Linked DNA regions of Drosophila melanogaster. The protein of the gene in region 1 interacts with the protein of each later gene in a biochemical or structural test. Each region holds a gene or a part of one and is shown on either strand. Other genes may lie near its edges. The genes, in order: chinmo and Sox21a.

Region 1 (3,928 bases):
ATGTATTACGATTGGTAATTTTTTTTTTTACTTTATTCTTTATTTATTTTGTTAAATGATTTTGCTTTGCTTTTATCGAAACGAAATTTTTATGCAAACTAACACACACGTTTTATCTGCTGCTTCTGTTGCGGTTGCTTTTACTGTAGTGATCACTGTAGTAGTTGCTATGGCTGCTGTTGTTGCTGTTGTTGTTGTTGTTGTTGTGTTGCTGTGTTTAGTATTGCGTATGTCCGAACCAATAATTTTGAATAGTTTACCAATTTGGTGGCTTAAATTTTTGCGGTTTTCTGCGTTTGTTCTAAAAAGATTTCCCTCGGCTTTTCAACTGATTTTGGGCTGGTTTTTGCTGACGGTTTTGGTTTTCCTTTTGTTGCGTTAAAAATTTACATTGATTTTATTAGATTGTCATCTTAGTTGCAAATCATTTTCACGTGTGGACGTTTTGAGATAATTACAATTTGTGTATATTTTATGTATGATGTTTTGTTGCCAAAAATCGTTTTTTGTTAATTTATTTTTGTTGTATTTAATTCAAGACCAAAACTTATGTTGCCAATTTTAGAATTTTGCGTTGTTTTTCGAAATGTTTTTGTTTTCAGTTCATTTTTAGGTTGATTTGTTGCAATTTCGCGTTATTTGATTCAATTAAATTGATTTTGAATATTTAGATGGTTAAATGTTCTTGATTCGCATTTTGTAGCATTCGCTGGTTTTGAGGTCGTTGAATGTTTTTCTTGACTTTCCTAAAATTTGCTCGTTGAGACATTTTCACATTGACATTTGGCTGCAAATACAAAAGCGGTTAGAAAATTGTTATTAAAAAGTGTAAGTGGAATTTGGCTGATTGAAACTCAAATCTATTCGGGGATAATGTGACATGTTTTAAGTATTCATTTTCTTTTTAATATTATATTAATTTGTCACAGTTCACCCGAATAAATTTCATTTCATTTGTGCCCAGAATTTCTGGTTTCTTATCAGCCCGATTTCTTGTAAGTGGAATTGGATTAATGATTTTATTATCGCAGAATATATTTCATTTTCCCATTTTGGGACCGTAATTCCCACTTTGCTTCTGGCAAATGTCTTTTATTCTACTCAAAAACACTTTATATGGCATTGGGACTTGGAAATTTTGGGGAAGGGGAAACATTTTTATTTGAGCAGTGAATTGTCTAATTGTTTTAAGAACATTTACTTCAAAACTATTTTTAAGAAGTTTTCACATTTTGTAGTGTATTTCTGTAGTTGTTCAACACTTGTTCACCGTTATTCTACACTTTTCTCTCGCTTTTTTGAACAAGTGTCCTGGGGATTAATTGCATTTTGCCTTCTTTCCTGCACTTCATGCACTTTCCTCTATTCTCCCTTAATTGCTATTTCGTAGCACACACACACACACACACACACATAAACACACAGTGCAAAAAAGGGGTTCAGTTCACTGGTATTGCGCCTTGTTTATTTTCAGGGGGAGGCGGAAAACGGGGAGGGTTGTTTATTGTTCCATGTACTCCTCGCTGTTGTTGTTGTAGTTTGCTTTTGCTTATTTTTCTATTGTTGTTGCTTGATTAAAAATGCAGACGTTTTGGTTATGCATAAAAGTCTATACTTCACTTTTTCTCAGTTTGCTTTTGCTATTCGCTTCATTTTTTATGCTGCGTTTTGTACCGTTTGAAATTCGAGTTGCAAAGTCACACACACACACACATAGGCCAGAATTTCATGTGTGCGAGAAAACCAAGTACACACGCATAATTGTTCATTTTTGATTTTATGTCACTTTATTTGAGCTTTGAAACATACCACATGCACTTCAATATGATCAATATTCACTCAAAATTACCTTTGAATTACTAGGCGAACAGCCGTTTTGCAACACTCACGACGCACTCACGCACTCTTGCCACACACATGCACACTGGACAGTTAGTTTGTGCATTTGCTTTGCTCGACGAAACACAAACAAAACGTAAATAATAATTAAAAGTGTTCAATGCCGCAAACTTTTAGCACTTTTCGCTTTTTGCACTTCATCCGCTGCAGTTCTTTCAGTTCAGAAATGTAGAGAATAACTGTTTTATCAAGCGGTTTCGATTCTGTCCGTGCTTCCTCGTTTCTTAATTTACGTGTAAAACTTGAGTTGCCTGCAGTTGCCAGGGCTGACGAGCGACGAGGCGATGCGAATTTGCGACTGCGAATGCGAATGCACAAACGCTGCTGCTGCTGCGAGCACCACCGAAACAAGCAACCGCGAAACTTCAACACGTCCGTTCAACACGGCAGTTTCTTTTTGACTGCCGATTCGATTTCGATTCCAACAGGCGGCGAACGAACAAGCGTGCAGTGGTGTGCTCCGTAGAGAGAGAGAGAAAGAGAGCGCGAGCGAGCGAGCGAGCTTTTAATCCAATTGGAATGCAGGCGAGCAACTTGCAATTGTCAGATTGGACATCTCCAACAAGGATTCTTAAAAAGGATAACCGAAAATAGTCTAAAGTATAACAGAAAATAGTTTACATATTTTTTTTTAATGATTTTTAGAACACAATTTACTCAGGCGAGTAGAAGTAATGGTCGTTGCAACTGCTTTTTGCATGTCTTTTTCTGTGTGTATGCACTGCCGCCCCAGGATAAAAATTACATATATCCTCATAATCCGGGGGTGAGTCTCTCACTCTTTCTCTCACTCTCTCTTTTGCAGGCGCAATTGCATAAGGCAAAGGACATGAGGTAATTTATAGGAGCTCCGCTCAAGTGGAAAATGTTTAGGGAAATCTCGTCCCGAAATAGCAAAAGCAAACCTTAACTTGGTCTTAACCTATTCGAACAGCGGGGGATTCCATCCAGGTGGTCTCTGAATATTAGATGCAATAGAAATAGGGTTCGCAAGAGGCGATTTATATGGAAAACCACTTTAAGATCGGCACAATGAGTTAAGATGGGAATATGGGAAAAATGTTAATTGCATAGCTTTAATGCAAAAGAACGCATTACGTTTCTTTAAAATCTTGATCACTCTCAGAAAACAAAAGTAAAGGATAAAATTTTTTTAGTGGAATTCTTTGGAATTCTTTAGAAAATTCTTACAATTGGTCTTTGATTTCTAGGAAGAAAACAATAATAACCTAACTACTCAGTTCTCGCATAATTTGCATATCCCTTGAGAACTTTCCGATCAAACCATCAAAATTGGAACAAAAACCCTCAAAATGCTTTTCATTTCTCAGCCCAAAAACTTCCCCTATTCACACAAGTGTCAGGAGTCCCTTTTTTGAATGCAATTCCCATCAAAAATATCAAATTCCTAGCCAATCAAACAATAACCACTTAATTTTAGTGGAAAAAGAGTTGATAAAGTTGAATCAAACAATTACCTTATTTCTATTCATTGACAGTTCGTTAGCAACAGTATTTTTTTTTCAGTGCAGCCTTGCCAAAAACAATAACAATGCGCATTCGTTTTGCAGTGAGCGAAAGAGAGGAGAGAGCGGTAAGCTTTTTTTTGGCGCATGTTTTCCCATTCTCTCTCTCTCTCTCTCTCTCTGCTGCCATTTTATGCACACACAATGACAATGAAAGCTTGTCGGTAAAGGGGCGGGGTGTGGTAAGGGAAAACGAACAATTTACGCGATTCAAGAAACACGTGGAGTGCCGGCGTCGAAAATCCAATAAGCAAAGGCAAAAGCTCCTGCTTTTGCTGCTGCTTTTGCTTCCCCAGTCGGAAGTGGAATTATTCCGGAACGCGTTCCTTAATAATTCTTTTTCGATGCATTTTAAATTAATTTCATATATTTTTATTTTATAAAAATACCACTAGATCAAACCCTTTCCATAACGAAAAATGCAGTGCATTTTTCGGTCGAGCGCCAATAAACCTCACTCCACCTCCTAAATCCACCCCTGTGCTTCTCTTTTTGGCTCTCCA
Region 2 (3,928 bases), on another chromosome or scaffold:
AGTGCTTTTTAACCAGACCCCAGTGAACAATACTTACCGCAATCGTTTTGCCTCGTCGATGAATGGACGCTTCTGTCCTTCGGTGAGTAATTTCCACTCGGCGCCCAGGCGTTTTGATATTTCAGAATTGTGCATTTTTGGATTGTCCTGGGCCATTTTGCGACGCTGCCCCCGCGACCAGACCATGAAAGCGTTCATTGGTCGCTTAATGTGGTCGTGGCTGTTGTGATGGCTTCCAGTATTCGAATTCGAGTGGCTGGTCGGGGCATTATGGTGGGAGTTGCCATGGTGGTGCGTGTGCTGGTGCATTTTGGGTGCCACCGGAGTGGGGGCCGCTGGCGGAACGGCGAGGTCAGCTGGCGGCATCGGTGGTGGGGTGGTGTTTCCCGATCCAGAGCCTACTCCCACACTCATACCCATGCCCAAGCCACCGACCATGCCCAAACCCAAATTGATGCCGGGCAACTGCGGTGAGAGACTGCTGCTATGGCTGTGATTGCTACTCCCGCTGCTCGTGTAACCATTGCTGTGGCTGTGGCTCCGATGGAGCAGGGCCGAGATGCTCGTCATGATGCCGGGCGCGGAGTCAAGGGACTCCAATGGGGGTGCAGGTGGTAATTATCAGGTGGTAGTGCTGCAGCTGCTCCTCGAGCTCTGAAATGCCAACGGAAATGGTATTCAATAGATATGCCTTGTTAGCTTGGGGACTCTGTCTGCTGCTCCCTGCATGAGTCATTTGATTGGAGCTCTTCGCACTGCGAATAGCTTACCAAAAATATGCACAATGGAACTCCATTTACCCCTTCTAATGTGTGTGTACAGGGGGCTCAAAATGGTGTCCCGGTTTTATGACAAACCAATTTAAATATTTACCAGTAATTCAAATCAGTTTTCAGTATTGAGTATTTGCAAAATTGGGGATTTCCCTTAAATTAATATTATCCAAAATATATTCCTTGAAGAACGTATATTTGCATATTAACAGTACTGCCAAATTCGATTTCAAATGATGAATTAATTAAAGATTGGATTGGAAAATGATATATTTTTTAAAACAGGCTTTTCTAACATTGAAAATTGCAAATATTCATAAAATTCATTATATATTTCATATCCTTATAAATCTTTTGGTTTCTTTTTTAAGAAAATATATTTGTTCGCTTATTTCGCTTTTTTAAAGTGTTTAGTTTTTGGGGAGGAGTGTGCAATAGTTTAATTTAGAGCACAGCTTTTTCTTCATTTCATATTTAAATATTCGAATTGTTTACCTAGGGACCTTTTCTCATCATCATAATTAGCTTACCTGTATTAATTGTCTTTTAATTTCTCCCTAATAAAGTTTAAATTTGGATTCCATCCGATGCGTGACACTTAACTATCTAATTAATTGCACAAGAGTTTACGTTGCGATCGAGTTCTTTTTGTTTATTAATATTACTAGGTTAATTATTGTTGATCGCCATTAGAACTCCTAAAAATACACAAGTGCACTGATATGAATTTTTAACTTATTTTCCAAACAGTTCGAGATTTATAGAGCCTCGAATTTACGAACGTTGAAAGTATTTAAACCGTTAGACTGCCGATTCACCGTTAGCCGAGCGCAGCGCGTCCGTTTCGAGTGCGCGACAATTTAGATTTGAAAACACATTCGAAAACTTGCGACAAAAACGGCAAACAAACGCAACAAAAAGGGGCAAGAGGAAGAACGTGGGTGTTTGTAAGTATGAGGGTGTCTCTGTAGTGGTTGGTCGCTGCTGCGTCGCTGCCGCCCAAAAGGACCGAGTGGGAGCGAGACAAGGCGAGAGATAGTGCAAGGGAGAAGGGTCGCGCAAGTAAGAGAGAGAGAGAGAGAGAGAGAGCGCGCACATTTTGTAGAGTTTTTTACACCTTCGGAGGACGCGTCAACGTGGCGGCTAAGTGATAAAAATTCGCTGCTGCTGCTTTGTATCTTTGTATCTGCGTTTTGTATCTTATTGACAATAGTCTCCGGGTTTGTTTTCGTTTTGTGTGCACGTTTGCATTCTTGTTTACCAAACATTGCTCCTTTTGCTCTTCGCCAGTTGATGATATCTGCATTTTTTATCAAAACCGTAACACAAAAATAATTTTGAAAATTTGAATAGCCCAATAACATATTTCATATTAAGCTACCAATATCAATTTTTATTGTAAATATAAATAGTTTTCTTTGAAAAATTCAAGAAAATTCCGGCTAGTTCTGAGAATTTCGCTGCTATATTTATTTACAAAATATTAAATCATAAATTGGTACGTTTATAAAACACTTTATTATTCAGTTCTGTTTTTCTTCTATGCATTTGTGATCCAAATAAAAGGCATAGTTAAACTACTTTATAGCTCTTCTTAACTATGGAATGAGAACCCATTTTTAAGATGTCAAAAAAATGCCTTGATTAGTTTATTTAAATGGAATACAAAACGGAGTGGCAACAATCAATCGAATGAAAAATACACTTTAGCTTTTGAATCTTATACTACAATTAACCAAATATTGGATACTTACTTATATGCATGGTCTACACTATATGGTTATGGCACTATAATTTCTTACTGTGTATTAGACCGGTGTTTGCTCTCACAATCGATCGGTGGCTTATTTGGTATGTTTGCTGCAAGCTTCGGTATCCGCAAGATTGGCCCTTTTTGTTGGCAGGGTTGGGCCGCTTATTTCAATTGCTCTCCTTGTTTGTCACACACAGGAAATTCTCAATTCTTGTTGTTGCTGTACCAATAACGATTTCTGTATAATTGCAACGATTAGAAGCCCTTGATCCCTTAATAGTACCACCTTTATACATTTGCTAAAATTTCTTATAAATGCCGCTCTTTATAATTGACGGTTTCAATGTTCCGCCAACGGAGCTTCTCCCTTGACGAATACTAAGAAATTAGACAATTTTCCCGGTGTTTACAGTGTAATGTCAATAGAAAAGTGTGTAATATGCTAGGTATAGTACATCCGGAACAATAATTTCCCGATCACAATTAATTTTAATTAAATATGCTTTTGCAATAATATTTAACGATTATTGGGACTATTAGCAACATTTCCACAGTATATACTAAATCTTCAAATTAATTTGACCTAGAAAGTAACAAAAACAACATTTTAAAGATAAATGAATCGTCGCAGTGCTTTTTATTTTAAATTTTTTTTTTAATTTTATTGCGTTCCTTGAAAAGGTTAAGGAATAAAGCAATTAAGGATTTTTGCTCTGCATTCCTTGGCATTTTTAAAAAACAACTGTTGGCGCCATAAAAAGATATCTTCCTAAGGGGTTGTTTTGCGCAAGCGTCGCTCTTCAAATGGTCGTAACTTTTGTAGAGTTTCTGCCCTCTACTCCCCGACTTACCCCTCTTTTCGCCCCTCTCCCATATCCTTCTTCACCAAAACAAATGCTAAGTAGGAAACGCATTTGGCGGGTTCCCCCCTTCACCATCGCACAACAATAAAAATGGCAGCGCTCTAGAAATGTGTGTGTGTGTGTGTGTGAGCTGCCCCAAACCTCAACCCCCCACTTAAATCACCCCCAACGCCCACTGCCACCCCTCCTCGCACCCCTGCAACTGCGCGCATGTCGATTTCAGACACTGTGGACCAATGGCGTAGACAATGCTACGGGAAGTGGAGTTTGGGGAATGGGGCTGCTGCTTAGAAGCGTTCTCAATGGTGACGCGTTTTTTATCGCTTTTTGTTTTGCATGCGAATTGAATGCATTTTATTGGCCAAAAGCCAGAACAGACGGACCCAAAACAAAGGCGCCAGCAACTGGTGGTCCTTGGCTAGAACATGCCTGAGTATTTGCTTTATCTACCGCTGGCAGAGGAGCAGGATATTCGGCACGGAGACCTCGACATTCCGTTATTTGTTCCCTCTTAATGGACATTATGGCTGGCCCTATTA

What was found.
Region 2: the proteins of chinmo (region 1) and Sox21a form a complex in vitro, tested with the Drosophila melanogaster proteins (one study listed by BioGRID).

Annotation. Positions count from the first base shown.
Region 1 is NT_033779.5:1,649,634-1,653,561, reverse strand, and holds the start of chinmo (chronologically inappropriate morphogenesis), read right to left. Parts: upstream 2,305-3,928; 5' UTR 1,850-2,304; intron 788-1,849; 5' UTR 1-787. UniProt on the Drosophila melanogaster protein: Required for morphological differentiation of postmitotic neurons during postembryonic brain development. Ensures production of appropriate neuron subtypes within a lineage by preventing precocious generation of late neuronal types of that lineage.
Region 2 is NT_037436.4:14,106,505-14,110,432, forward strand, and holds the start of Sox21a (Sox21a), read right to left. Parts: upstream 1,615-3,928; 5' UTR 1,304-1,614; intron 655-1,303; 5' UTR 571-654; coding exon 38-570; intron 1-37.